Oryctolagus cuniculus: one gene and its partners. The protein of the gene in region 3 interacts with the protein of the main gene of each other region in a pairwise test. Links are inferred from orthologs where the notes say so. Each region holds a gene or a part of one and is shown on either strand. Other genes may lie near its edges. The genes, in order: PNMA1, UBXN11, PSMA1, MKRN3, CCNH, RAD54B and TRIM23.

Region 1 (4,090 bases), on a different chromosome or scaffold from region 3:
GTTCAAATGTAGAACATTTAAAATCTGGGTGAACAAGAACTATTTTGACAAGGACTGGAAGGGGAGTGGGGGGATGGGTGGGTCACTGTCACCGGGTCCTAGCCATCTCCCCAGGTGGTTTCTCTGCGCGACCTCTGATCAGCACAGCTCCGGAACTGCAGTCCTTTTCCAGCGCCCCAGCTGGAGTCTCAGAACACTCTGTTCCACAGATCCGGCTCTTTAAAGATGAGCACTAAGAGATTTGCACTGTGAGGCTGAGCAGTATTACCTAAACAATGCACGTTTCTTTCCATTAATATAAACATGGAATGATTTACAGTCAACACACACTAGCCTCGACGCTGATAACAATGTGATGGTTCACGGTTCCTGCGAGCCAGGCCCTGGGCTAAACATCTGCACGTGCGACTTCACATTTATCTCCATGGGAAGAGTCACGGGTTCACACTTGTCACAGCCGAGGGTGCCGGCATGTCGACAGCGGGCGCCGCAGCCAGCAAGCCCATCGGCATTGTAGCAGCTCCCCATGCTCTGTGCAGTGTCGGCGGAGTTACAGGAACGGGCAGGCCAGAACCCCCTCCCTCCAAGAAAAACACAACGAAAACAGCAGGCAGCTAGGCCTTTACTACTCGGGACCAGGACAGCAGCTGCGGGCCGGGTCTGCACGGCAGCCCTCTTTCCTGGGGCTCAGAAGTGCCCCTCCAGGCCCAACTGCAGGAGCGCGGCCTCAGCCTCCTCCTCCTCCTCCTTGGCCTCCTCCTCACGGATCTGCACCAGCAGCTGGAAGAGGTTCGGGGCCGGCCCTTCCGCAGCGCCGGTCAGCCAGAGCTGCCTTCGGAGGGTCCCGCTGTGGTTGGCCCCGGCGATGACCTGCTCCAGGCGGGCCTGGTTCACGTTCTCTTTATCAATGGCCCCCTTCTCCACCACCTTCTGCAGCAGCGGCTCCAGACGAATGACGTAAGCCGACAACTTCTCTCCCGGGTTCTGGTACGTGTTCAGAAACCTGACCTGCGCATCCCTAGAGCTCTCCACGCTCCCGAACACCTGCTCCAGCGCCTTCAGGCACTCGCCGGTGGTGATCGCGGGGTTGCTGGTCTTGAGGATGCGGATGACGTCGGCGGCGGGGCCCCGGAGGCTCTCCATCAGCCGCCGCCTCTTTTCTGTGTCGGACACCTGCCACTCCTCTATGACTTCATTAGCGTGCTCCAGCCAGCAGTCAAAGCTCTCCTCCCCAGGCCCCGGGATGTCCCTCCCCGAGAACAGCGTCAGCTTCTTGTACCATATGGACTCCACGAGAGGCTGAATAACATTATCCAAAATATAGCTGAGCATCTCGGCTGGCATTTCGGGGCCCGGGGCCGGGGCCGGGTTCTGAAACCCAAGGACGCGGGCAACATCTTGCACGGTCCACCCCTCCCGAGCTAGGAAGAGGTGCAGCCTTTCTAAAAATTCAGCGTCAGACGTGGGGGGCTTAAAAAGCACTTTCCACACCCCTCCTTTGCCAGGCATCTCCCTGGGGATCGCGGCGTAATCCACAGCGCCAGTGAGCTCTAATAAGGCTGCTTTCGCGTTCTCTTCCCTCCAGAACATTCTCCCAAGCACTCGATACGGCACCTGGGGCATCGCAGCCTGGAGGGTCTCTTCGATTTCAGCCTCATCACAGTTCACTAGGATCCCCCAAACCAGCAGCGCTCTCTGGGAGTTCACGTCCATGCCCCTGCACCAATCTTCCAACAGCGTCATCGCCATGTTCCCAACTATCAAAGGTACCGATTCGACAGATACGGATCAGACTGCGGCTCCCCGAACTCCAACCAACACCAGACACTCCCCGCAAGCAGGCGCGCGGGCGGCAGGTCCCCGCGGTCGCTGGTAACAAGCGACACCCAAGCCCCGCTGTCCGTCTGCGGCTCCCCGGCGCGGCCTCGCAGGGGCTCAGTCAGTCACGCGGCTGTCGCCATCTCGCGTCCCGGGTCGGGGTCTGCGGCCCCAGAGTGCAGCCTGCGGGAGCCGCGGGGCCCGGGAGCGCCGGGGTGTGGCCGCGGGGCGTGGCCGCCGCTCCCGGAGTCGCCCCGGCGCTGGCGGTCCGAGCCCGGCCCTCAGCGGGGCGAGGAGCGGCAGCCCGAAGGAGCGCTCGGCGTGCCGGGCCCGGCGGGAGAGGCTGTCCGAGGTCACCGCGGCGGCAGCCGGGCCAGCCGGCGAGCAGCGGCTTCTTCTCGGGCGCGGGGACCCCTCCGGACAGCGAGGACCGCTGAAAACCGAGGGCTGAGGGGAGCAAAGACGCAGGAAGGATGCAGAAGCGAGGCGGGAGGCGAAGGCTGGTGGGGCCGGCCGGGCTCGCGTGGCGCGACGGGCTGCGGCGGCTGTGGCGCAGCTCGGCAGCCGGCGCGTTCCCGCCGCAGTGCAGGGCGGGGCCGGCCCGCGAGCCGCGGCCGCCGCACCGGATCCAGGTCGCCGGCGAGGCGCGCGCGCGTGACCATGGCAACGGTGTCCCGGACGACGCGCTCCCGAAGACTCCGTGCGCAGCGGCGCGGGGTGGGGGGAGCGGTTGCCATGGTACCGCAGCCATCAGATGTTCCAGACTTTTACAATGAAAAAAAAAATACCAATAAGCATCGAGGGCTTCTGTCTTCTAATCCGGAGCGGATTTCAGATACTAGTGGGTATCACCCGTGGTGGCTGACTTGCTCATGCAACTGGCGCATCAAGCCAGGTGCGTGGACGGCATCTCATCCAGAGGAAACGAAGGCTCCCAAGTATCCCACTTGTGTGACACACAGACTGGACACTTCCTCTTATCTTTTTTTTTTTTCTAATTTTTTTTTTTTTTTGACAGGCAGAGTGGACAGTGAGAGAGAGAGACAGAGAGAAAGGTCTTCCTTTGCCGTTGGTTCACCCTCCAATGGCCGGTGCGCTGCGGCCGGCGCACCGCGCTGATCCGATGGCAGGAGCCAGGAGCCAGGTGCTTTTCCTGGTCTCCCATGGGGTGCAGGGCCCAAGCACCTGGGCCATCCTCCACTGCACTCCCTGGCCACAGCAGAGAGCTGGCCTGGAAGAGGGGCAACCGGGACAGAATCCGGCGCCCCAACCGGGACTAGAACCCGGTGTGCCGGCGCCGCTAGGCGGAGGATTAGCCTAGTGAGCCGCGGCGCCGGCCACTTCCTCTTATCTAACACTTAGTCAAAAGGCCGGCCACCTACCTACCTACAGCTGGCAACGCACCAGTATTCTGTAATCCCTGCCTCGGGTACTCTTCAAGCCAGAGCAAGGGCCGCTTCGGTCAATCTCAGAGGATGAAAATCCCCCAAAAGAACACAGCATCCAACTCTGAATTTTTAAAACCTTATTTAATGAAAGGTTTAAAGATACAGAAGAACATTCAAAAGTAAATAAGTTACATAGGTACATTACAATCACATCAGCAAGATTCTCTTTAGTGTATTAATTTTTATATAAAAAGCACACAAAAAATAAAATCTTCCATCTGCTCTATCACAACTGTACAGCCAAAGAGGTAATATTTATATATTTATATATATGTACACCATTTTCATATGTAACAGTCTTTTTTAAAAAAGGTTGCCACAGGCAGCAAACACACAAAAGGCAGTGTCTGATCATCTGTTTCAAAATAAAAGGAATATACTTCTTTATATGCTATTAAAATATTTGTACAATAATTACAGACTGTCAAGGCTGTCCCCTCCTACAAGGCCTTCAACTTGGAGACAAATGAGTAAAAGGTGAAACAGAAACAGCTGCAAATCGTTAGAGGCAAACAGTAACACAGCAAAATGGGGGGGGGAGGACACTTGTTTTATAAAAATATGCACACTTCCTGTAAACCTAAAGGAGTCAGGCTTGCCAGTCTAGTAATAAATACTGTCCAGAAAAGCGGGCCCCCGTGGAGAGGGTGCTAAACAGCCGAGGCTTCGGGATGTGTTGTGTTCCTTCTTCATCTAGGCATCTGGCACATGAGAGATCAGGTCACTGAGGCAGTTAAGTATGGGCAGTTCCTTTGGCCGTGAGCAGCACGAGACCTCCGTGCCTGGGCGGAGGTGCGGCGGCAGAGGGGCGAGTGTGTGCCTCA
Region 2 (3,500 bases), on a different chromosome or scaffold from region 3:
GCAGAGGCAGGACCTTTGTGCTCCCCAGGGCCCCCCCACAGGCACAACCTCTGCATCTTCCTACCCGGAAGGCGGCTGGGGAAGCGCCGGGCCTTGCGCTCACCCTAGGCCTCGCTGCTGCAGGATCAGAAGATACTGGCCCTGGAGGACTTGGTGAAGACCCTCCAGCAGCACCAAGGTAAGAGGCCCTCCTGGGGGCTGATCCCCCGGTCGGGACCTCCCTTGGCCCTGTGCCCCTGGGTGGGAGCGTAGGTGGTGAGCAGCAAGCTACTCCCTGGTGGGTCTGGAGAGCTGAGCCAGAGCTCGGCGCCGACAGCTGGAGTCAGAGTGCCCTGAAGGTAGCTGCACTACCCAGAGCGTGGTGGAGCCACAGCACTGAGGGGCGAGGCAGGGTGCCCTCAGGGGAGCGGGGAGAGAGGGCAGAGATAGAGGGGGTCCCCTGCAGGTGGTTCCTCAGGGCCCCAGATGGCCCTCAGGGCAGAGGTGGCCTGGAAGCTGGAACAGCCAGACCCCATCCCCATCTCCCCACCAAAGGCGAGGCCTCCCAGCAGCGGCAGGAGGAGCTGGAGACGATGTGCGCGCAGCTGCAGCGGCAGGTCGGGGAGATGGAGGTGAGGGCGGGCCCGGGGACGCAGCAGTCCGCAGCCCGCAGCCCCAGCTCCAGGCTGTCTGCCCCTTGGGACGGGGCCAGCACCTACTTCTCTGGGCCCCTCCACACCAAGCCTCCCCCTGGGGGCCCTGCCCCGTGAATTAACCCCGAGTTCACAGAGCCACAAGTGTCCAGGGCTCACCCTGTGAGTCTGAACCGCCCTAAGCACACCCCGCTTGCCTCCTTGGCCTCGGGGCTCCCGGCTGGGCTCAACGCCAAGGGCCTCCCTGGCCCCTGCTGATTCTTTGAACACGCCCAGTCTGTCCCGCCTCGGGACCCTGGCCCATTGCTGTTCCCTGGCCTGCAGTGTTTTTCCTTCCTGCCCCAGCCCTGTCCTGTGCTTTCTCAGTACCTCCCTTCTCTGCCGTGGACTGTGAACTCCGGGGCGGGCCACCTCCCTCCCGATCCCAATCCCCGGAGACTCATCAAGGCCATCCCCTATCTCTGCCTGTGACTTCTTCCTCCCACGCACACACCCATTCAGACTCCAAAGCTTGAACTGGAGGGGCCAGGAGCAAAGACGTGTCCCAGGTACACACACGTCCCAGGCATTCCCACCCTGCCCTGGCAGGAGCCAGCCTTCCTCTCCGAGCACAGAGTGGGTTCCTAAAACCCCAGTGGAATCCAGGGCCACAGAGGCCAACCCCAGAGCCTCAGCTGCAGCTGGGAGCACCTGTCGCTCCAGGCCTGTTGGTCCCTGGGGCTGTGGGTAAACACAGCTGCCCCCACCCCCCAGGCTGCTCCGAGCCTCTGCTGCAGGGGCTGAGAGGCTGTACCCCAGAGCCCCTGGTGGGAGGGCATCACTGGCTCTCACGAAGCAGGTGCTTAGCAGAACCCGCTGGGGGCAGCACCCTGCAGTGCCTGTTCTAGTGCCTGGTTGGAAATCTGAACAAGACAGACATGGTCCCCACCCTCAAGGGGCTGACAGCGTGGAGGGGACGAGACATTAACAAGTACATGAAAGAGACACAGAGACAGGGAGTGCTATAAGATAATCCCGTGTGTGACACACTGGAGACGGATGGGGACGAACCACTGTGGAGGTGACCTTGGCCATGAGATCTGGGGGATGAGGGGCAACCAGGGGCAGAGGACCCAGGCCAGAGACACGAAAGCCTCCCCTTCTGCCGGGTACACTTGGCTGATAGCGGTTGCTGGTCATGGGCAGCAGGAGACCAGAGGCCGGAGTGGCCCCATCACGCAGGACTCGCTGCCCGTGGTGCGCGTGGATTCCACTGGGAGGGAATGGGAGACCACTGGGGGTGTCAGAGCGACATGAGGGGAGGACCCTCCTACTGCGTGACGACGGGGACACAGGTAGAAGCCGTCTCCTGGTTGTCCAGGAGCGTGACAGTGGCCGTGGTCTGAGCTGGGAGGCAGCGCATGGGGCAAGAGGGGTCGTTCTGAGGCTGCTTGGGAGATGGCAGCCACAGGCCTTGAGGGGCATCCGGGTGTGGTGGCAGAGAGGGGAGCGGGTGCTGGATGATGCCTGGGTGGAGGGGGCGTCACTGAGACAGGACCAGGAGGTCCAGGGCATGGGGGCGGGAGCCGTGACTGTTCAGTGATTGCGAGTTGCATGGCAGGCATTAGAGTCTATGTGGTTGGAGACGGGAGTGTGGAATTCAGGCTGGGATCTGCTTTGTGGTGCAGCAGGTTAAGCTGCCGCTTGCAGTGCCAGCATCCCGTACTGGAGCGCTGGTTCAAGCCCTGGCTGCTCCACTTCTGAGCCAGCTGCCTGCTAATGCTCCTGGGAAGGCAGAGGAAGCTGGCCTAAGTACTGGGGCCCCTGCCACCCACATGCGTGACCCAGATGGAGCTCCTGGCTCCTGGCTTTAGCCCAGCCCAGTCCTGGCCGTTGTGGCCACTTGGGGAGTGAGCCAGCAGATGGAAGATTCTCTGCCTGTCAAATACATAATAAATCCTAAAAAAAAAAAAAAAAAAAAAAAAAAAAAGTCATAAGGGAGTGCTGTGGACCTGCAGTGTCGCTGTCGCTGTCGGGTGGAAATGGGGAAGCAGCAGGGGCTGGCCAAGGAGCAGCCAGGCGGGAGGAAGCCCAGCCGCTGTTGAAAGAGATGAGGACAGAGGTGCGCCCGCTGGGTTTGGCAATGGGCAGGTGGTTGGTGGCTGCACCATGAGCAGCTTCAGTGAATTGTGGGTTGAGGAAAGAAGGGGAGAAAAGGAATTGGCAACAGGAGGTGTAGACGATTGAAGTTCTGTGGCAGAGGGGAGGGAGGCCAGGCCCTGGGGAGGCCGGCGTGTGGCTGGTCCCGTCCTCAGAGCCAGGGTGTCCCCAGCCCCTCACGCTCAGGCTGACCCGCATGGCTGCCCACAGCCACAGCGGCCGGCTTTCCTGCTCAGCGCTGGATGTGAACTAGGTGCTGTGATCTCCTGAGGCTCCAGGAGGTAAAAGGCTTTCCAAGGTCACAGCCAGGAAGCAGCCACGGTCTCAGCCCATCCCCTTGTTCTGTCAGCTCTGGGGCTGAGCCTGGGGACGGAGCCAAGGCCACTCGTGCCCTGGGAAGGGACTGAGCTGGCAGTGTCCCCAGCATCACCTCCTTTCCCCACAGCGGTTCCTCAGCGACTATGGGCTGCACTGGGTGGGCGAGCCCATGGACCAGGAGGACTCCGAGGGTAACATAGCCTCAGAAGATGGCGGGAAGGCCTGGATGACAGCCAAGAAGTTCTGGAAGCCAGGTAGCCTAGAGGCTGTGCCCCAGACGCCCTCAAGGGGGATCCTCCAGCGGCTCCCAGCATGCCCCGAGGGACCCCTGACACAGCACGCGGGAAAGGCCTCAGCCTTCATCACTGACCAAGACGCACCTTGCTCTTCTGCAAGGGCCCCCGAGGCCCC
Region 3 (4,076 bases):
TCTATGAATTCATCATAAGGAGGTAATCAGGAAAGTACACCAAATAATGTATAATCATCATTATGGTATTTTTATAATAGCAAAAATTTGGAAAGAATCTAATTGCTCACCAATAGTAAGGTAAATTATCTCATTTCCACACAATAGAACACTATACAACTACTGAAAATATAATAGACATTTCATAAATATTTCAGAAATATTTATGAAAACAAAATGGCTATAACTTTTTAATAGTATTAAAAATAGTTTAATATAATTTTATATGTAAAAGAACTGACAGATTTGTATGCAACACATAACCATAAATATGTTACATGACAATTTTTAAATGGGCATTTAGTCACTCATTCAACATTCTTTATTCCCTTCGCCAATATTTATTAAGCACTTCATACATGCTAGGAATGTGTACATCAAAAAGATGAACTATTAATTTAATCTGTTACTTTAAAAATGACAATAACCATTGTTGCAAATTTGAGGGGGGCAACCCCATATACTACAGTTGAGGACCTAACAGTAAAACTTTTCTAAAAGCCAATTTAGCTCTTTTCATGAAAAGCCTTAAAATTATACATTTCATTTGAACCTGTAATTCCATTTCCTAGAACTGACTCAAAAGAAAAGAATATGGATGTTAAACATATATAGGAAACAGTTCGTGAGTTATTTGGAAGGACCTAAATATCAAACAATAGGGATCTGGGTAAATATATGTTCAGAATGCAGAATACCAGGGCATCTTTGTTTGACCTGCAAAATGTTGAAGACAAGAAAGCGTTCAAACACATACATGCAAAGGTTTCTAAACAGTGTGATTCTACACTGCTGCGAACCTGACCACACCACCTGAGCCAGTTCTTGTACATGCAAAACTCTCATCCCGAAGGGATGCTTTCAGCTCCAATGTCACCTTAATCTAGGCACTCACCTCTTCTTTAAAAAGAGAATTACCAGTTGGTAGGTGTTATTGGCAGCTATGCTCAGAGCTGTCTCAAACTAGTTCATTTGGGGATTTGCCAGAAGATCCTTTCGAAAAGAAAATAGATAATTCAGAAGAAAAAGTCCTTTTATTCTCAGCGGCCTAATCTAATCTATCGGGTGTCTGCTTGGTTCTGAGGGCATGGAAAGACAGTAGTTCAAAGTCCGGAGGAGGAAAACAACAGTGATAAAAAATGAAGGGCTGCTGGTATCAGGGTCTTCGAAGAAGAGATTTAAGGAAGGCAGAGGATTCATAAGTGCAAAGCAAAGAACGCACACCAGCAAGATACTCGAGGAAGAGTATGGCTGACACACATAAACAGGCGTTATTCTGTGGCCTTTCCTGAAGCCTCGTTCTTCTCAGACACACACAGCTCAAATCTCTGAGGACGATGAACCTGAGACTCCAGGACGGGCTACGAGCTGCTGTTTAGCCACTGCCTGCACTCCGGGGCCTACGTTTCCCGCCAATCTCAGTTCCTCCTTCTCCCAGGGCCCCGCCCACGCAGGAGGGCGCGAGGAAGCGCTGGAAACCTATCGATAGCTCCGGAATAGACTGATCTACCCTGCGCTGCCGCCGTCAAAACCCCGCAGCCTTTTCTGTAGATCGCCGAGCGGTAGTTTCGGCTGCGTTCCTTACTCCGCACCTTCGCTAGGAGTCCTGCAGCCAGGCCGGCGACGGAACCATGGTGCGTTGGGTCCCGATCCTTCGAAGGTTTAGGGCAGAGGTCCCAGTGACTTGGGGATGGCGAACCAATTCTCCTGCCGTTCTTAGAGCGGCCCGAGGCCACGGGGCATGGGAACCCCAGTCTGCGGGAGGGCTCCGGCAGTGATTCAGCATCTCCGGCCTGGCCTGGCGAGCTGCGGTCGGTAGCCGGTGCAGCCTTTTCCTCACGGCGCATTTCGCTATTCTCAAGGCCTCGATGAAGTGGTCGAGTCCGCCTCTCGAGTTCCCTCACCGGAGTAGATTCCCAGAGGTCCAAAACGATCCCTCGTGCTCTGGACGATAGAGAGACGGGACTTGACTCGGAGGCGGCCTTGTACCGCCGGGGCGGTCTAGACCCAGGGTGTGTGTCCTTAGATCGCGTCCCTTTCCTTGGTGGGTCCGTCCGACTTATCAGCCCCCTAGGGCGCGATCAGAAAAGGTCTCTTTCACTTTGTCCAGTCACCTGATTGCAAATGAGTGAACTTATCCTGAAAGGGGAAATGATGGACTCAGGATTATAATGTAGTTCTGTGGGCTTCAAGTCCCACGCCAAAGAGTCCAGCGTTCAGTCCGCTCTCCCCTGTGATTGTTCTGCCAAGTAGTGAAAGGCCTTTTTGAAGATTGTCTAAAACAGTAGTGTATCGTAGTTATTCGTATCTAGCCCAAAGTAACAAAGAAAAATTTTATGTGTACAAAAGTGCAAGTACAGGGGAGGCTCAAAGATAATCAGACATATCCCTAACCTTAATTTTAAGATAGAAAAGGATGTGTACAGAGCTGTGGGACTTCGTGCTGTGAGGGTTTTGGGAGAAGAATTCAAGAGATAGACATTTGAGCTCATTTAAAGAAAAAGTTTGATGCATATAAACTTCAATAGTTGAACCCAAAGGGAGCGCTATGGAGAGTGGCTGGGTAGAAAGTTGGAAAGATGAGACCCATTTAGAGCTGTTCCTTCCTCCCCAGCTCATAGAAATTGTAGACTTGGCTTGCCACTGAGTATAGTAGTAATCTTCCAGTGAGTTTGCCTTAACAGTTACTTTAATGTGTAATGAAATCACACATTTCTTAATATTAAGAGGAGGGTTCTGACAATAATTTGATCTTTTTTTTTACTTTCAGTTTCGTAACCAGTATGACAATGATGTCACTGTTTGGAGTCCTCAGGTAAGATAATGTTTCATACTATTCCATTCAAGAGCTTTTTCATGGCTGCAATATGTTTAGAAGGTTGTGTGATTGTAGACTGTGAGAAAATGGGATATATTCATTTTAGACACTCCCATAACTTAAATTTATAATTCAATACATTTTCTGGTTTTAAAAAAAGTCATTTGAGATTTAACAGTGCTCTTGAGGTTTGAGGACTCTTAATTCTTAATTTGTGAAACTCTTCTAAGGTGACTCTAAGACATGTGTTTTTTTTCCCTTTAGGGCAGGATTCATCAAATTGAATATGCAATGGAAGCTGTTAAGCAAGGTTCAGCCACAGTTGGTCTGAAATCAAAAACCCATGCAGTGTTGGTTGCATTGAAGGTAAATAAAGCAATAAATATATCTTCCTTTAGAAAGCAAAATTATCAAATGAAAATTTCACTGTGTAGGCAGTAAAGTTTTAAACTTATTTTTATCTTTTATGATGTCTATTTAGAGGGCACAGTCAGAGCTTGCAGCTCATCAGAAAAAAATTCTCCATGTTGACAACCATATTGGTATTTCAATTGCGGGGCTTACTGCTGATGCTAGGCTGTTATGGTGAGTATGATTTTGAAAAACAAACATCTCTGATTCATAATATTTTTTAAAGATTTATTTTATTTATCTGAAAGAGTTACAGAGAGAGGTAGAGACAAAAAGAGAAGTCTTCCATCTGTTGGTTCACTAGTCAAATGGACACAACAGCCAGAGCTGAGCCAATCTGAAGCCAGGATCCAGGAGCTTCTCCCACATGGGTGTAGGGGCCCAAGGACCTGGGCCATTGTCTGCTGCTTTCCCAGGCCATAGCAGAGAGCTGGACTGGAAGTGGGGCAGCCAGAACTTGAACCAGTGCCCATATGGGATGCCAGCACTGCAGGCCAGGGCCTTAACTCACTGCACCACAGCACTGGCCCCTGACTCATAATTGTTTACTTATCATGAAAAGACTGAGGTAAACTATGTTGGGAAGTTGTCTGCCAGAATGTTTATAAGTTAATATTATGACTATCTTAATGGATTGGGTTAGTTTCTGAATATTCCATATCCTGGTTCTTGTAATAGTAACTAATAGAATTCAACATACTGGTACTAAGACTTGAGAAGTCATCAAATAATGTGATAACTTAAAGTAACATGTGTTGTTTGAGACTCTGTTATGTCTAAGAAACACTTGACACTTTTGTATCATTTT
Region 4 (4,242 bases), on a different chromosome or scaffold from region 3:
ATAAGCTCTAATGCCTTTATATTTTTGGAGGAAATATTTTAAAAGCTTTAAATTAGAGGATTATATGATTCCATGTGTAATTTATAGATTTATATGCATATTTCTTATGCTTTTCTTATTTTTATTGATATGTTCTAGACATATGCCCATATCTAATAAATTTAAAAGAATGACTTAATCTTGTTCCTGATATCCTTTCATGATTTTTTTAATGTCTTTTGTTAATTAGTGATATCACTTTAAAAATTTCTAGTCTGGGTTATTCGAACTTTGTTCGTTTTTTCTCAAGTAATTTGGTACAAATTTATATTTACTTAATTAGGATTTAATTTGATGACATGGATAAATGTGTCATAAATATTCAGACTTTTTCACTTTAGAATGGAAATTTAAGTTATAAAAATTTCCCTCTAAGAAACTTATTCTAGCAAATACAATTCGTCAGCACATCCTAACACGGAAGGATTAATTATGAGACAAAGAATAAATCAAATGTTTGAAATGCTGGAAGTGCTAATGATCACATTCAGGGCATTAAAGGGAGAGGGAGCATAACCTCCTTAGAAACGCAGAGAGCTCTCCTGTAACATTCAGCAGACAGCCGCGCGCCCCTGAGCAAAGCAGCAGCACAAAGACAGTGACTGTGAAAGGAAAGGGAAGAAAGCAGCTCTCACCGTCAGGGCAGCGGCCGAGCCTGAAAAGCTGTGCTGACCCCGCAGCCTCAGCCTCGCTCGCTGGGCGGAGGGAACAAAGGCCACCAAGAATTAAACCAGCCGGGAAGAAAAGCCGGGTCGCGCCGGGGGCAGGAGCCTTGCAAGTCCCACAAAGGACGCCCTCGGCCGGGGCTGACAGCCTCAGCCACACGTGCTCCCTGCTCGCGTTTCCTCCAGCAGCCCAGGCAGACCCTGCAGCAAACAAAGACCCCAAGAAACGATGTCTGGTGGCCGCCGCGCAGCGCACAAAGCCCCCGCAGGGGCAGCCAGGGGGCAGCGGGACACCACAGTGGAGACAATGCGCGGTGCGCAGACAAAGGCGGTGTAAAATCCACGCAGGGCATGCTTCAGAAACTGCAGGATTAGCCCATCAGCACGTGGAGAAGCAGCGAGGATCGTGAACTTTCTTTACGCAGACACGTTTGACAAATAATCAGAAGTGCATGGCAGAAACTAAAGACATGGAATTAAAACCTCATCTGCCAGAGGAGACAGTGTGGGAGGGGGGCTTGGGGTCTGCGGGAAAGCAGCAGAGCAGGGAGCGACGCCAGAGGAGGGGGCGCGGAGCCCGCCTTTGCCTGTGTGAACAAAGGAGCTGTCAGATTGGTCGGCCGTGGAGACCCGGCGCCGCGCGCTGCCGGTGCCACCACAGGAAGTGTCCGCCACGCTGCCTGCAGGGGAAAGAAGGTAGGAACACACAGTCACAGGGAACAGAGAGTGGGGGAAAGGAAAAAAAGGTGCACACTTCCCCCAAAGACACCTCCGTGACCGTCCCGAGCTCCAGGGCTCAAGCCCAAAAGGAGACAGCACCGGGGAAGTTCCCGAATCGTTTCTGGGAGAAGAAGCTGCCATGGAAGAGCCTGCAGCTCCCTCTGGTGCCCAGGAGGCATCTGGGGCCCAGGCAGGGGCTGAGGCAGCAGGGGAGGGTGCATCTGGGCCCAGCCTCCCTGAGTGTGAGACCTCTGGGGAATCTGTGGCTCCAGACACAGCCCCTGCTCGCGCGGCCTTGGGCCTAGTCCCTCTCCGTGTGGCTCCCAGCCCAGCCCATCTGCGGATGGTGGGCCTGAGGCACGTCCAGGCCGCAAGGGGAGGGGCCAGGCCCAGTCACCTGCCGAGCCGGAGCACTGGCAGCTGGACAAAGCAAGTCGTCTGCAGGTATTATCTGCATGGGCTGTGCAAGGAGGGGGAGAACTGTCGCTACTCTCACGACCTTTCTGGCAGGCAGGTGGCCCGAGAGGGCCATGGCGCACCGCCCCGGGCCTCTGCAGACAGAGGCCCCAGCATGGCTGCGCCCAGCCAGCCCCCAACTCAGGAAGTGGCGGAAGCCGCCCCTGCTGCATCCTCAAGCTCCTTGCCTCTGATTGGCTCGGCTGCTGAAAGGGGTCGCTTCGAAGCCGAGTTGGAATGCGCTGGTCAAGGGGCTGTCGGAGGATCAGGTGTAGAAGGCTGGGAAGAGGCCGTTGAGTTTGTTCCCGGGCAGCCCTACCGGGGCCGCAGGGTCGCTTCTGTCCCCGAGGCTCCTCTACAGAGCTCGGTGACTGAGAGAGAGCAGATGGCTGTGGGCATGGGGCAGCAGATGGCTGTGGGCATGGGGATGCAACTTTGCCCTCACGCTGCCAGGGGACAGTGCTTTCGTGGGGAGAGCTGTATGTACCTCCACGGAGAGATATGTGACATGTGTGGGCTACAGGCCTTGCACCCCTTGGATGCCGCTCAGAGGGCAGACCATAGAAAGGCCTGCGTCGAAGCACACGAGAAGGATATGGAGCTCTCGTTTGCCGTGCAGCGCAGTATGGATAAGGTGTGTGGCATCTGCATGGAGGTTGTCTATGACAAAGTCAACCCCAGCGACCGCCGCTTTGGCATCCTTTCCAACTGCAACCACCCCTTCTGTCTTAAGTGTATCCGTAGGTGGAGACGTGCCAGACACTTTGAGAACAGGATCGTCAAGTCCTGCCCACAGTGCAGAGTCACCTCCAACTTTGTCATTCCCAGTGAGTTCTGGGTGGAGGAGGAGGAAGAGAAGCAGAGACTTATTCAGCAGTACAAGGAGGCGTTGAGCAACAAGCCTTGCAGATATTTTGCCGAAGGCAGGGGCCACTGCCCGTTTGGAGAGCACTGCTTTTACAAGCATTCATACCCTGAGGGCCAGGGAGAGGAGCCTCAGGGGCGGGGTGGTGGACCGTCGGCCGCATACTGGCATCAACTTTCGCAGCCTGTGCAGCTGGGAGAGGGCAGCCTGCTCTTTAAAAGCAGTAAAAAGGAGCTTGTCACGCTTCGGCTGGCCAGTCTGTTGTTTAAGCGGTTTCTTTCACTGAGAAACGAGTTCCCCTTCTCTGAGGAGCAGTGGGACTTGCTTCATTATCAGCTGGAAGAGTATTTCAACTTGAATCTGTAGTATCCTGCCACACTCTGATCAAGTCTGCTGGGGCTTTGTCGTCTGCTGTTGGCTGTTTTCCCTTTATTGACATGCCTGTCACTTTCAGGGGCTGTGGTGGCGACTTTTATGCAGTGTTTCTCTGTTTTCTTGTCTATGCCCCGAATCTTTCCCCTAGGGTAATGGTGGTTTCATGTGTTAAAAAATAGTAAAGAATCCTTAAAGTTACTGTTTGGTGGAGCTAATATGACTGTTGCTTTGTGGGGTTTTTGTCATGTCTGTTTTTCAACAAAGTTCACTCAGTCCTAGTCTAGTGTTTACAGAATTTCTACACTCATTTTGAAGTCCCTCAAGAACAAATGTGACAGGGTGAAAGGGAAGTCTTAACTGGAAGCTTTTTGCTACAGTAGCCTTAAGAAGTGGACACTCGCAGGGCCTTGCTTGTTTTTGTTTGTTTACATCACTGCTCCTTCTGGCATCTCTTAAAGTGCACTTGTTAACTTGTGGTTACTTTGTGATTTCGTGTTTTACTTGAACAAAACCAGGTGCAAATGTTTACATGTTTTTATCCTGTTCAACTTGATGTGAAGTTATTTTATTTATATTTGGAAGTATGTGCTTAAAAGTGATATATTATATATGCATATTTGTGTATATTAGCTCTGTATTGGAAAATTTATATAAAATATACATCGTGATGTATATGTTTGCATAATAAAATAAATGCAGAGATGAAAGCTGAGGTCAAGGGATAGCAGGCTTGGCTGCTGTGTGAATAATCTTTCCCTTGCACAGATGTCACTTTTTAGCACCTAATGAAAACTGTTGTTCAAGTGTAATGCCAAGTGTAACAGATACAAGTCTTAAAGGATATATGAAACATGACATTGGTAATTCCTATGACCTCACTGTGCTGTTATAAATACAGAAATGTGTACTTCCATGCAGTAGAGCCAACAGCTCATTCATTATAACATAAAATCCTGAGCTCAGACATACAGTTGTTCATTTTCATTTTTTAAATATTATTTTTATACTTTGAAAACGGGCTTTTCATAAATTTATCAAAATAAAGGTAATAAGCATACAACATGTAAAATAGAATAAAATACTAAAACTAGTTAGGATATAAGATTGGAAAGATAAAAGAAT
Region 5 (4,230 bases), on a different chromosome or scaffold from region 3:
TAGGAGTATCAGTTCCCGTCCTGGCTGCTCTAATATATCTATGTGTGTGTGTATAAGATTTATTTATTTGAAAGGCAGAATTAGAGAAAGAGGGAGAGATGGGGATCTTACATCTTCTGGTTTACTCCCCAAATACCTGCAACAGCCGAAGCTGGGCCAAACCGAAGCCAGGAGTGTCTTCCAGGTCTCCCACATGGGTGCAAGGGCCCAAAGACTTGGGCCACCTTTTGTTGCTTTCCCAGGTACATTAGCCGGGACCTGGATCAGAAGTGGAGCAAACAGGATTTGAACTGGCACCCACATGGGATGCCGGCGACACAGGCGGTGGCTTTAACCCGATACACCACAACACTGGCCCCTGCTCTGCTTTCGATCTAGCTTCCTACTAATGCACTTGGTAAAGCAGCAGATGATGGTCCAAGTATTTGGGACCCTGCCACCCATGTGGGGGACCTGGGCAGAGTTTCTAGCTCCTGCCTTCAGCCTGCCCCAGCCCAGGTTATTGTGGGTATTTGTGGGGTGAACCAGTGGATGGAAGATCTTCTGCCTTCTGAATAAATAAATAAATCTTAAAAAAATCTTGTCAGGGCCGTTGTTGTGGCTTAGCAGGTAAAAGCTGCTACCAGCAATGCTGGAATCTTATTCTGACCCGGCTCCTGGCTGATGACTTGCGAAAAGCAGTGGAGGATGATCCAAGTGGGTCCCGATTACCCATGTGCAAGACTTGTATGAAGCTTCTGGCTTTGGCCTGGTCCAACCTAGGCCACTGGGGCCATCTGGGGAGTGAAGCAGCGGATGGACATCTCTGCCTGTCTCTCCAAGTCTGCCTTTCCAACAAATAAATCTTAAAAACCAATCTGTGGCATGAATTTCAGCTGCAGCATATGATTACAACTGATAAATGAACACAGTATTTCAAACAGGTACCTTTGAAAAAGCACTGGTCTGCGTTCTGGTTCCAGTTCTACTGTTCACTAGTGAACAACTGGAAAGCAATTTGATTTTTTATTCTTCTATTGAATGAGCTGTCACTGCCTGTCTACTAGACCTCTAGGCTCTTTTGACTATGAAATGTGACTAAGAAATACTTTGCAAGACACAATACAGTAATTCATAATTTTTGGCCTTTATTGAAAAATATACAGCAAAAACTGAACAATTAAAACCAAGGTAAATTTTTGAGCAGTCAACAGAAAATTTATTAGATTTCAAAGAGGTCAGATTTCATAAGTCACTAAAAGGACATTAAACTCCAAAGCCACCATAACTTACCACAACAGACCTTGGCATTGTTGGCTTAAACACGGAACAGAATTCCAGTAATCTTTTCTCATAGTATTTGCAGAGTGTCATTTCTTCGTGAGGCTCAAGAAACACTGGATCATTTGGAAGAACCTTTTGATCAAAAATCAGAGCACAGGTTCAGTGAATTAAATACCGTCAAAGCCTTCTCTTACTACATTTAGCTTTCCTCTCGAACAAACACAAATACACCACGCCTCATTTTCTCTTTAGACTCGCTCATCATAAACAAAACAGCTTCAGGAAAACATGTCAGAGTGTATGTGGTCATTTCAATGCCTCAGACTGTCAGCTGAACTTCATGAAGCCAAGTCCGTGCATACGTATGCTAACAGATCTGATGCCATCGATTATAAATCGAAAAGCACACGGTCTTCCAGTGGTTGGCAAACTTCCAGCATCTCTCTGTCCGTCAACCATCATGTCACACAGCTGCGACAGGAAACAGTAAGCACCTTCACTACTTCTGCTGTTGTAAGCTACCCAGTCCTGGGCACTTTATTTTAAAAGTAGCGCTCGATCGTTAGCACAGGTGCAACACAGTGATAGCAAACACACGTGAGTTAGAGCAGCTCAGTACCAACAGGTCTGGCGCATGGGACCCTTGCTGGAGTGAGGCGTGTGCTGGGTGGGTGGGGGGTGGGGTAGGGGTGGAGCTGACGGATTAAAGCCGGCGGGGACCCCTAACGGAAGGGATGTGGCTATGGGGCCGTGGGCAGTCTTCAACTGGCTGGGCTCAGGGTCTCCTCTCTGCCTCGCCTGACGCGCTCCCCTCCAGGCTGCCTGAGATCGCCTTCCAGAACCAAGATCCCAGAAAGTTAATTTCCCGCTGGAATTTCTGCAAGGTTTCCCGCCTTTTCAGTACAGATTCCAAGTCCCTCGCCTGCCCTCCCCAGCCCCTGCGACCACCCCTCCCCCCCTCCGCAGCAGCAGCCACACACCTCGCACCGCCCGGCAACTTCTCGCCGCCCACTTTTCACCCGCGCGATCTCCCGCACCCTGCACCCGGGGGAAAAGCCTTCCCCGCCATCCCCTCGGGGCGAGTGGAAGGCGCCCGCCCGCGCGCTCTCAGCGTGCTACGAGCACTAGTTACTCGTCTGCCTCCCGACGCGGGGACTGCGCTGGCTCGACTCGGACCCCGGCAAGGCGCCCGCCCACTTGTCCAACACCCGCACGCACACCCGCGCCGCCGAGGCAGAGGCCGCGGGGGGCGCCCGGGGAGCTCCCGCCGCCGACCAGGCTGAGAGCCGCGCACCGCACCGGCCCCTCGCCCCTCGAGGGGAATCTCACCTTCCCGTTCGCCACCGCTTTGCATTTGAATTTGCGGTTGGCGTCGGCCCGCAGTCGGCCCAGCTGCTCCTCACTGGCGAAAGTCCAGTGCCTTTTCTGGCTGCTGTTGTGGTACATGGCGAAGTCCGAGCCCGAGCGCGGCGGGATCGCGGAAGCCGAGAGTGCGCCAGGCCGGCGGCGCGCGCGCTGACGTCACGATCACGTGCCGAGCCCTGCGCGGAGCAACCTGGGAGGGCGGGATGCGGCGCGGCTCCTGCGACGCACGTGGGCGGGGCCGCGGGCTTTCCCGCCCCCTCGGGTCAGGGAGCTGGGGACTGCGCGTTGGCCCTTGTAGCCGGTGCTTAAGGAAGCCTGGTCCGAGGGCACCCGAAGGGGACGAGGCGTGAGGGGAGGAGTAGGCTGAGGGAGATTCCCGAGGGAGGGTGACCGTGTTGAAGGGGAAGGTGTTTGAGGAGAGGCGGGGCACCGCCGAGGGAGCCGCGAAGTCGGCAGCCATCTTGCGTCCTTGAGGCCTGCAGCGGAGGCGTTCGTGGGTGTTTGGCGGGAGAGCCGAGGACACCAGTGTCCTGGGAGCCCTGTCACCATCCGAGAGCAGAACAGGGCTGGCCGACCGGAGCAGTGCACGTGGGACGCTGCCGTCTTGCCACTAGTGGGGCCTCGTCTGTCCGCCTCCCCTGCCTTCCTGTGGGTAACGCTTGCGCCCGCTTCCAGTTCCTCTCGGGAGCCGGGAGTCCTGGTGGTTGCGGGGTTCTCCTGAGATTCTCATCTTCGTAAAGGACTCTGGGGAGTCTTAACGATAACTACCGTCACAGAGGTTTACAGCTTCCAAAATTGCACTTGAGGTACAAAATCCGTATTAGTTAAGTCTTTGCCAGTTCTGTTTGTCGCATTTAAGGAAACCTAGTTCTGTGTATCAAAGCCCCCAGGAAAATTTCATCCAAAAATCAGATGATGATGACGAGACACGGAGTTTAGGTCTTGAAACGTCCACAGGGGTGAAAGCAGGTGGAAGATGACTTTACTCTGCTTTCTATGAAAATGTCTTACAAATTTAAGAAAGGGGGAGCCCCCCCCCTTTTTGGTGCAGTTGTGGTTTGCTACGGTTTTAGAATTCCTTAAATTTTATCATTTGTGGTTGATCATTTTGGAGATCCGTGCCATCGAACATGTGTCCGTAGTCTAGACCAGTGCATTGCTAAAAAGTAGGGAAGAGGGAAGAAGACGTGATGATGCTGAAGAGGACATGGCGGTCTGAGTCCAATGCACTATGGACAACTAAGAGCTGGTGGAGATGGAGAAAGAAGAACTTACAAGGAAGAAAGAAAAAGGTACAAAAGGCAGGCAGGGAGAGAAGTAATCCAGATAAGTAGAGTATGTGTGTGCAATCTTGGGTTTGTGGCAGTTCTGTGCATCATTTCAGTGGCTTTTGTTCTTCTGTGAGCTATTTGACAACTCCTTCGTTTTAAATAGAAGCAGCTACAAACGGGCATTTGGCAGAGTTGGCAGACTATGATTTCCACAGGGATCTAAGTCAAATTGTTGAGTGTCATGGTTCATTTAGGAAGATAAATATGAAAAACCTGGTGTTCCTGGTCTATTTTTTAAACCTTAAACAAATCGTAGTCTAAGAAAATTAAC
Region 6 (3,500 bases), on a different chromosome or scaffold from region 3:
CACATTCCTTTCCAGAAGCTACATGTTTTTCCAAACTTCCACAAACCACCCACATGCCCTAGCTTGCGCCCCACCACCACCACCATCTTGAAAGCCAGCTGTATTGCATTTCTCTGCCCCTACTTCCATAATCACTTCCATAATCACATAATCTCTGACTCTCTTGACTCCTCCCACTTTTAAGGACACTTGAGATTATTTGGGGCCCAGTCAGATAATCCAGGACAACCTCCTCATCTCAACTGAGGTCTTTAAAATTAATCAATTCACTAAAATCCCTTCTGCTATGTAAGGTAACATATTCATATTCCTGGAATTAAAATATGAACCTTTTCAAAACATGTTTATTTACTTTCACCCACTTCAAAGACAGAGTGACAGAGAGATCTTCCATCTGCTGGTTTGTTTCCTAAACGCCTGCAACAGCCAGGACTAGGCCAGGCCAAAGCCAGGAGCTAGAAACTCCATCCAGGTCCCCCATGTGGGTGACAGGATTATAATCATCACAATAAATTTACTGTTAGCGGCTACATTTTCAAAAACCTCTGATAAGATTTCAAAGTAAGTCAACTAATGGAAGTCACAAATTTCATTTTTGCAACAGTTTTATTTTTTTTTACAGGCAGAGAGACAGGGCCGGCACCACGGCTCAATAGGCTAATCCTCCACCTAGCGGCGCCAGCACACCGGGTTCCAGTCCTGGTTAGGGCGCCGGATTCTGTCCCGGTTGCCCCTCTTCCAGGCCAGCTCTCTGCTGTGGCCCGGGAAGGCAGTGGAGGATGGCCCAAGTACTTGGGCCCTGCACCCCATGGGAGACCAGGAAAAGCACCTGGCTTCTGCCTTCGGATCAGCGCAATGCGCCAGCCGCAGCGCGCCAGCCGCGGCAGCCACTGGAGGGTGAACCAACGGCAAAGGAAGACCTTTCTCTCTGTCTCTCTCTCTCACTGTCCACTCTGCCTGTCAAAAAATAAAAAATAAAAAAAAATTTTAAAAAAGGCAGAGAGACAGGAGTTTAGCAGCACAGTAGTTAAGATGCCGCTTGGCACACCCACATCCTGCTTCAGAGTGCGGGGGTTCTGGTCCCAACTCCAACCTCAATTCTAGCTTCCAGCTATTGCGTATCCAGGGAAGCAACAGGTGATGGCTCAGGTAGTTGGGTCCCTGCTTCCCCTGTGAGAGACCTGGATTGAGTTCTTGGCTACTGAATTCAGCCTGGCCCAGCTGCAGCTGTTGCAGGCATTTTGGGAGTGAACCAGTGGATGGAAAATCTGTCTCTCTGCTTCTCAAATAAATAAAAATTTTTTAAATACAAGTTTCTCTGTATTATTTTTTTTTACCTTAAATAACTTTATATCTGGATTCAGTTTTATAATTTCTTCTTTTGGACTTGGATTACTTCTTCCTGGGGGTAAAAATTTTAGTCTTTTGAAGGAATTCCCCTGCAACTGACTTGGTGCTGCAGATCGTCTCATAGTCAATAGTACTGACCTGAAAAACAGCCAAAACAGAAATAATTCATGAGTCTGATTATGCACGCACTATCCAAACATTTTCACACTGCAATCAGACTGCTCTAATGTTCCCTCTGAGCTGTGTAAACAATCCACACCTGACCTCATATAAAGCTCATAGTCGAAAGGCAAGTGTTGGGGCTGGTAATCTGGCACAGAGATTAGACGCTACTTGAGACACCTGTATGCCATATCAGAGAGCCTGGGTTGGAGAGGCAGCACTTCATGGCTTAAGTACTGGGCTCCTGGCTGTGGCCTGGACCAGGCCCAGCTGTTTTAAGCACTTGGGAAATGAATCAGAAAACAGAAATATCTTTGTCTTTCTCTGCCTTTCAAATAAAATGAAAAGCAAAAATAAATTTTTAAATCTTAATTTTCTTTAAAAAGGCAATTACACTTAAAATATTGCATACAATTACCCTTAGGCTATGTGTATAAGGTATATACAAAACAAATGAATTCTGTGTTCTGACTTGGGTCCCATCCCTAAGATATTTCATTATATATACAAAATATTGCTAGTTATTTCAGATAAAGGATACTAATATTTCATTTATTATTATAGCAAACACATAGCTAGCACTTAGTGTTCGTCATATGAATGAATCTACAGCCATTAATGACAAATACACACTTTTTAAAAGAATGTTTAGGCTGGCGCCTTGGCTCACTAGGCTAATCCTCCGCCTGTGGCGCCGGCACACCAGGTTCTAGTCCTGGTCGGGGCGCCAGATTCTGTCCCGGTTGCCCCTCTTCCAGGCCAGCTCTTTGCTGTGGCCAGGGAGTGCAGTGGAGGGTGGCCCAAGTGCTTGGGCCCTGCACCCCATGGGAGACCAAGATAAGTACCTGGCTCCTGCCATCAGATCAGCGCAGTGCGCTGGCCGCAGCGCGCCACCTGCGGCAGCCATTGGAGGGTGAACCAACGGCAAAAGGAAGACCTTTCTCTCTGTCTCTCTCTCTCTCACTGTCCACTCTGCCTGTCAAAAAAAAAAAAAAAAAAAAAAAAAAAAAAAAAAAAGAATGTTTAGGGGCTGGGATTGTGGCACAACAGGTTAATCCAAGACCTGCAACTCCAGCATTCCAATGTGATAGCTAGTTCAAGTCCCTACAGCTCTGTTTTCCCTCCAACTCCTTGCTAATACACTTGGGAAAGCAGTGGAAGATGGCCCAAGTGCTCCCGCTGCTAAGTGGGAGACTGGATAGTTCAGGGAGTGAACCAGTGGATAGAAGATGTCTCTCTCTCTAACTCTGCCTTTCAAATAAATTTAAAAAAAAATTTTTTTTAATGGCATGAGAAGTGTTTTGGATGCAACAAATGAAAAACAGCCACATGTTCAGTTTCATTCCAACTTTTTAAAATAGAGTAAAAAAAGAAAATCAATAACATATGCATATATACTCTATTTTTTTTTTTTTAAGATTTATTTGAAAGGTAGAGTTAAAGGAGAGACAGAAAGAGATCTTTCATCCACTCATTCATCCCCTAAATGGCCACAATGGCCAAGGCTGTGCCAGGCAGAAGCCAGGAGCCAGGAGCTTCTTCCAGATCTCCCATGTGTGTACAGAGGCTTGGGCCATCTTCCGCTGCTTTCCCATGCACATTAGTAGGGAGCTGGATCAGAAGTGGAGAAGCTAGGACTAAAACCAGCACCCATATGAGATGCTGACACCACAGGCTGTGGCTTAATCCACTGTGCCACAGTGCTGGCCACACATACATACTTTTTTCTTTAAATTTTTTAAAAAATTGCCATCTGCAATGCCAACATCCCATAGCAAAGCAATGGTTCGAGTTCTAGCTGCTCCACTTCCAATGTTGCTCCCTGCTAATGCACCTGAGGAGACAGTGGAGGATGGCCCAACTACCTAGGGTCCCTTCCACCCACGTTGGAGACTCCAGTGGAGTTCTGGATGCCTGGCTTCTCCTGGATGAGGCACAGCCATTACAGCCTTTTGGGAAGTGAACCTAGAGATGGAAAATCTCTCTTT
Region 7 (3,943 bases), on a different chromosome or scaffold from region 3:
ATACCGGTTCAGAAAATACTGATAGGAGGAAAAGCTTGCACACCTTCAGCACAGACATAATCTGACTCAAATATTTGCGATCTGCGGTTAAGATTAGGAACCCAATGCGGTGACGGTCAGCCGTACATTTTAACAAATCTACGTTACGCGTGGCAGGGCTATGTATTGCTAAATCCTTCGCACAGTTGCTACGCAGTGCTAACACCCCAGATAAACCTGAAACCTGGTAACTTCCCAGTGCCCACTAAGAGACGAGAGACGGAAGGAAAAGCCATTTCGGATGTTTGCTTTAATGCACCCCGGTTCGCAGAGGTCTCCCCAGTAGGGGCGCGGCCTCGGCTCTGCATCCAAACATCTGGTGACTGCAGCAGCACAGGTCAGGGAGAACGACCAGGTGTCTGTTTCGTTCCAGAAAGCAGCTCTGAAAGCGAAACGCGAAGAGGCCAAGTCGCCTCCTCCTGCTCGCGCCGGACGCAGCGCGGGGCGGCGGGCACCGAGTGTTTTGAGGCCTGGCCCCTGTCACAGAGGTCGCGTCTGTGTGGCAACGGCCTTCGGGAAACTGCGAGAGAAGGGAATAAGACAGAACAACGGTACCTCGGCACACATTTACCTTTCAGCGCCAGCAGGTGCTCCTGTTTGGGGGGATTCACTTCCATTTTGACCGGCACGTCTGACTCCAGGCCTACGGGGGCTGAAGAGGTTCAACTTGGCCCGGAAGGGAAAAAAAGCGTACGTCGGGCAGAACAGGCGTCAAACGTCCTCCCAACAGCTTCTTTGTACCTTAAATTCTCCTTTCACTGCGTCCTTTACGGACCCAACGGCTTCTTTTCACCAAAGCCATCCTTTGGCTCTTGGAGATCTGCACAGAAAATACGGCGTTTTCCGTCTACGATCACACATTGCGACTGGAAGCAACCACTGTAACGATACGCGGCCTCTTAGAGATTAAAAAAAGGGCGAGAACGTGGCATGCCGGGATTTGTAGTGCAAGCAAAAGTCGCGTTGCATGAAGGGAGATGTAGTATCCGCCTTGGCTAGTTTGCCATTAGAGAGCCGAACTCATAACCGGGCCGGGAATTTCACCTTTAAACTTTAATTATGTGTTATCCATTTTTTTCCTTTGACTTTTTTCTTTCAGCAGTTGCAGGCTTCTTAGGAACAAAAACAACACGAGCAGGACTGTGCCTCCAACCCAGCCGAGGCTGACGGGAGGCGGAGCCGCTGACGGGAGGCGGGGCCGCGTCGTACTGGGCCTGTGCGCCAGCGGCGTGCGCGGAGGCCTCTGGGTAGGTGGCTCGACCCCGCCTCCCAGGTGAAGGCTCCGAGGGCTGCTCCTGCGCCGCTGCTCTGCCCGGGATGGCTGCTCTGGTGGTAAACAAGCCTGGAGCTGGGCCGGACAGTGGCCGGCAAGGCAGCCGGGGGACGGCCGTGGTGAAGGTGAGGGACTCTGCGGACTGCGCTCCCCGCTTCGGCCGTCCTCCGGCTCATCCGGGAGACTTGGGCGGCATCCCTGGGGCCCAGGCGCGGCCGCGGCGTCCCTGTGTGCCTGGCAGGCAGGTCTTGGCGTCCCTCCGTCCGCGACCTGGATCCCCGGGCCCGAAGTTGCCGGGTCTAATCCTGCAGATGCCAGCATGCACAGCGGGGACGTTTGTGAGAGGGAGCTGTGGGCCTGTGGGAGTGGCCCGGACCGCTCTTTCTGTAGCCCCTCTATCTTAGTTGAGCCTAGGAGGCGTTAACTCGCTTGGTTTTGTAGAATTGAGCCATTATAGCCTCCAGGTACTGTGTTAGGGGTTTTAGCTGGTTGGCATCTACTCATGAGGTGGATGCTAGCTCTCGTTTTGCAGGAAGGAAACCCAGGTTTCGGTTAACATGGTGTGCGACTTTAACGCCTGCGGCGTCCACTACGGCGCAGCTTCTGTGATTAGACGTCTGTTACTGGTGAGCTGCGCCTTTCCCGCTTAGCCGTACAGCCTGTCGACATGGTTGAGAAGTCTCCAATGGCAGTACAGTTGAATCTTAACTCTGGGGTGCCTGAATGGCCCTATGCTGGAAGGTTGGGATGCTACCATGTATAATGCTCCAAAAATGCACTTACCGAAAAGTCAGTTGAAACACATGGCACTCATTTTCCCTGTGCTCTGAAAATATCGGAGGATTTGACAGAGAGAACTGATCTGAATGGTTCATGCCAACCTTCGGGATTGTCAATGTTATAAGCAATTGGTAATACTATAAGCAATTGGTAATACTATAAGCAATTAGTAATTCTCGTTCCTGACTGCATGTCAGGGTCACCGAGGCCTTTTGTGGAGGAATGGCGCACTTCTGCGGTTATTAGGTTGGCGTTTCTACACATATTTCAGTCCCAGAGTGACTTTGATGTACAACCAGGGCTGAGAATTGTTGAACTAGATAATATCTGAAGTTCTTTTGACCTTTTGCTTATTAGTAGGCACTTATGTTTTCTCACCTAATGTTGGTTTTATATAACAGCAAGTGACACATTTCTGCCCACAACTTAGTCATTATTATTGCTTGTTGATTCAGCTGACCTTTATGTAGTAATTAAGTTATTCTGAATATATAGAGCAGCATATCTGAGATACAGAGGAGCCCTCATTATTAGGCATGTTGTATGGGTGAGATTTTATTTATTGAATTGTGCTTTTGATAAATAGAGAATACCTGAAGATTATTTGTGAATTGACTTGAAGTTTAATTCCATAATTGGAGTATCGTTTACATTTCTGTTACCTTGTTTGCTTTATAATCTGAAAAAAAGTACCAAAATGTGATGCAGAATTTGTTACAGAATTTGATATATTAGAAGCATTTTTAGCATGTTCATTTTTATTTTAACATGTAAAATATTCTGAACTGTGCAATAAGATAGTCCTTTTTGATGAAAGAAGAAATTCATCAGAAAGTGAAAGTTGACATTTATAATGCTAATGCTTTGTAAAATGCTGTCTTGTTTAGTGACCAAGTTGATAATGGCAGGGTTTTTATTGTTAGGAAAAACAAAATCTGATATTGCAAAATTATTTACATTTTAAAATTAATTGCAAAGTTTCTTTTGTTTCCTAAGCTTTCTTATAGTCCTTTTAAAGTATGATCTGGTTTGTTCAAATTCGATTTACATGTAATAAGTTGAAATTTTCTTGTGAAGTATGAAATTTACCACCCCCCATCTAGGATTTAATTTCTTACACTGTTCTCTTCAATAACTGTTCATAGATACTGAGGAAAGACTATCTACTAAGTTGATACCTGAATAATTTTTGGACCTGTGGTTGGCTTACTAAATGGAATTATGCTAATGGTTTTTGAAAAAAAAAAAAAAACCTATAGTAACAACATGAGCAAGTTACCTTGTTTAGTGATGGGTCAGAAGTATAAGTGTGAATGAACTAAGAAAGTTTTTTTTTTTTTTTTTAAAGATTTACTTTATTTGAAAGACAGAGTTACAGAGAGAGGTAGAGCCAGAGAGAGAGAGAGAGGTCTTCCATCTGCTGGTTCACTCCCCAGATGACCACAATGGCCAGAGCTAAGCTGATCTGAAGCCAGGAGCCAGGAGCCTCTTCCAAGTCTCCCACATGGGTGCAGTGCCCCAAGGACTTGGGCCATCTTCTACTGCTTTCCCAGGCCACAGCAGAGAGCTGGATCAGAAGTGGAGCACCTGGGACTCAACCTGGCACCCATATGGATGCTGATGCTGCGGGCCAGGGCTTTAACCTGCTGCGCCACAGTGCCGACCCCAAGCAAAGTTTTAATTTTATTCTTTTGAGGTTATTGTCAGAAATAAATTTAACATGCAGTATTCAATAATGAGAGCATTTATTAAAATCTTAGATTTATTTTATACTGCCTAATTCTATTGTGAATATCTTTTCTGTATTAAATTTGATGAAGTGGAGCTTTTGTCTTCCTTTTTAAAACGATG

What was found.
Region 1: the proteins of PSMA1 (region 3) and PNMA1 interact in binary tests that used the Homo sapiens proteins (3 or more experiments, as listed by UniProt). The two-hybrid records come from large-scale screens. The link is inferred for Oryctolagus cuniculus from reciprocal best matches to the Homo sapiens genes PSMA1 and PNMA1.
Region 2: the proteins of PSMA1 (region 3) and UBXN11 interact in binary tests that used the Homo sapiens proteins (3 or more experiments, as listed by UniProt). The two-hybrid records come from large-scale screens. The link is inferred for Oryctolagus cuniculus from reciprocal best matches to the Homo sapiens genes PSMA1 and UBXN11.
Region 4: the proteins of PSMA1 (region 3) and MKRN3 interact in binary tests that used the Homo sapiens proteins (3 or more experiments, as listed by UniProt). The two-hybrid records come from large-scale screens. The link is inferred for Oryctolagus cuniculus from reciprocal best matches to the Homo sapiens genes PSMA1 and MKRN3.
Region 5: the proteins of PSMA1 (region 3) and CCNH interact in binary tests that used the Homo sapiens proteins (3 or more experiments, as listed by UniProt). The two-hybrid records come from large-scale screens. The link is inferred for Oryctolagus cuniculus from reciprocal best matches to the Homo sapiens genes PSMA1 and CCNH.
Region 6: the proteins of PSMA1 (region 3) and RAD54B interact in a two-hybrid assay, tested with the Homo sapiens proteins (2 studies listed by BioGRID and IntAct). The two-hybrid records come from large-scale screens. The link is inferred for Oryctolagus cuniculus from reciprocal best matches to the Homo sapiens genes PSMA1 and RAD54B.
Region 7: the proteins of PSMA1 (region 3) and TRIM23 interact in binary tests that used the Homo sapiens proteins (3 or more experiments, as listed by UniProt). The link is inferred for Oryctolagus cuniculus from reciprocal best matches to the Homo sapiens genes PSMA1 and TRIM23.

The regions. Positions count from the first base shown.
Region 1 is NC_091451.1:19,888,785-19,892,874, forward strand, and holds the start of PNMA1 (paraneoplastic antigen Ma1), read right to left. Parts: upstream 2,801-4,090; 5' UTR 1,750-2,800; coding exon 688-1,749; 3' UTR 1-687.
Region 2 is NC_091438.1:145,182,106-145,185,605, forward strand, and holds part of UBXN11 (UBX domain-containing protein 11), read left to right. Parts: intron 1-71; coding exon of another isoform or gene 72-123; coding exon 124-178; intron 179-534; coding exon 535-611; intron 612-3,216; coding exon 3,217-3,343; intron 3,344-3,500. UniProt on the Homo sapiens protein: May be involved in the reorganization of actin cytoskeleton mediated by RND1, RND2 and RND3. Promotes RHOA activation mediated by GNA12 and GNA13.
Region 3 is NC_091432.1:51,702,962-51,707,037, forward strand, and holds the start of PSMA1 (proteasome subunit alpha type-1), read left to right. Parts: upstream 1-1,276; 5' UTR 1,277-1,670; coding exon 1,671-1,673; intron 1,674-1,815; exon of another isoform or gene 1,816-2,051; intron 2,052-2,809; coding exon 2,810-2,854; intron 2,855-3,121; coding exon 3,122-3,223; intron 3,224-3,338; coding exon 3,339-3,442; intron 3,443-4,076. UniProt on the Homo sapiens protein: Component of the 20S core proteasome complex involved in the proteolytic degradation of most intracellular proteins. This complex plays numerous essential roles within the cell by associating with different regulatory particles.
Region 4 is NC_091443.1:13,380,112-13,384,353, forward strand, and holds the start of MKRN3 (probable E3 ubiquitin-protein ligase makorin-3), read left to right. Parts: upstream 1-1,442; 5' UTR 1,443-1,563; coding exon 1,564-3,111; 3' UTR 3,112-4,242. UniProt on the Homo sapiens protein: E3 ubiquitin ligase catalyzing the covalent attachment of ubiquitin moieties onto substrate proteins.
Region 5 is NC_091445.1:10,326,788-10,331,017, forward strand, and holds the start of CCNH (cyclin-H), read right to left. Parts: upstream 2,801-4,230; 5' UTR 2,710-2,800; coding exon 2,593-2,709; intron 1,396-2,592; coding exon 1,273-1,395; intron 1-1,272. UniProt on the Homo sapiens protein: Regulates CDK7, the catalytic subunit of the CDK-activating kinase (CAK) enzymatic complex. CAK activates the cyclin-associated kinases CDK1, CDK2, CDK4 and CDK6 by threonine phosphorylation.
Region 6 is NC_091437.1:119,876,979-119,880,478, forward strand, and holds part of RAD54B (DNA repair and recombination protein RAD54B), read right to left. Parts: intron 1,489-3,500; 5' UTR 1,473-1,488; coding exon 1,338-1,472; intron 1-1,337. UniProt on the Homo sapiens protein: Involved in DNA repair and mitotic recombination. May play an active role in recombination processes in concert with other members of the RAD52 epistasis group.
Region 7 is NC_091445.1:86,572,744-86,576,686, reverse strand, and holds the start of TRIM23 (E3 ubiquitin-protein ligase TRIM23), read left to right. Parts: upstream 1-1,143; 5' UTR 1,144-1,356; coding exon 1,357-1,437; exon of another isoform or gene 1,438-1,869; coding exon of another isoform or gene 1,870-1,938; intron 1,939-3,943. Other genes in the region: TRAPPC13 (trafficking protein particle complex subunit 13), read right to left, coding at 611-656.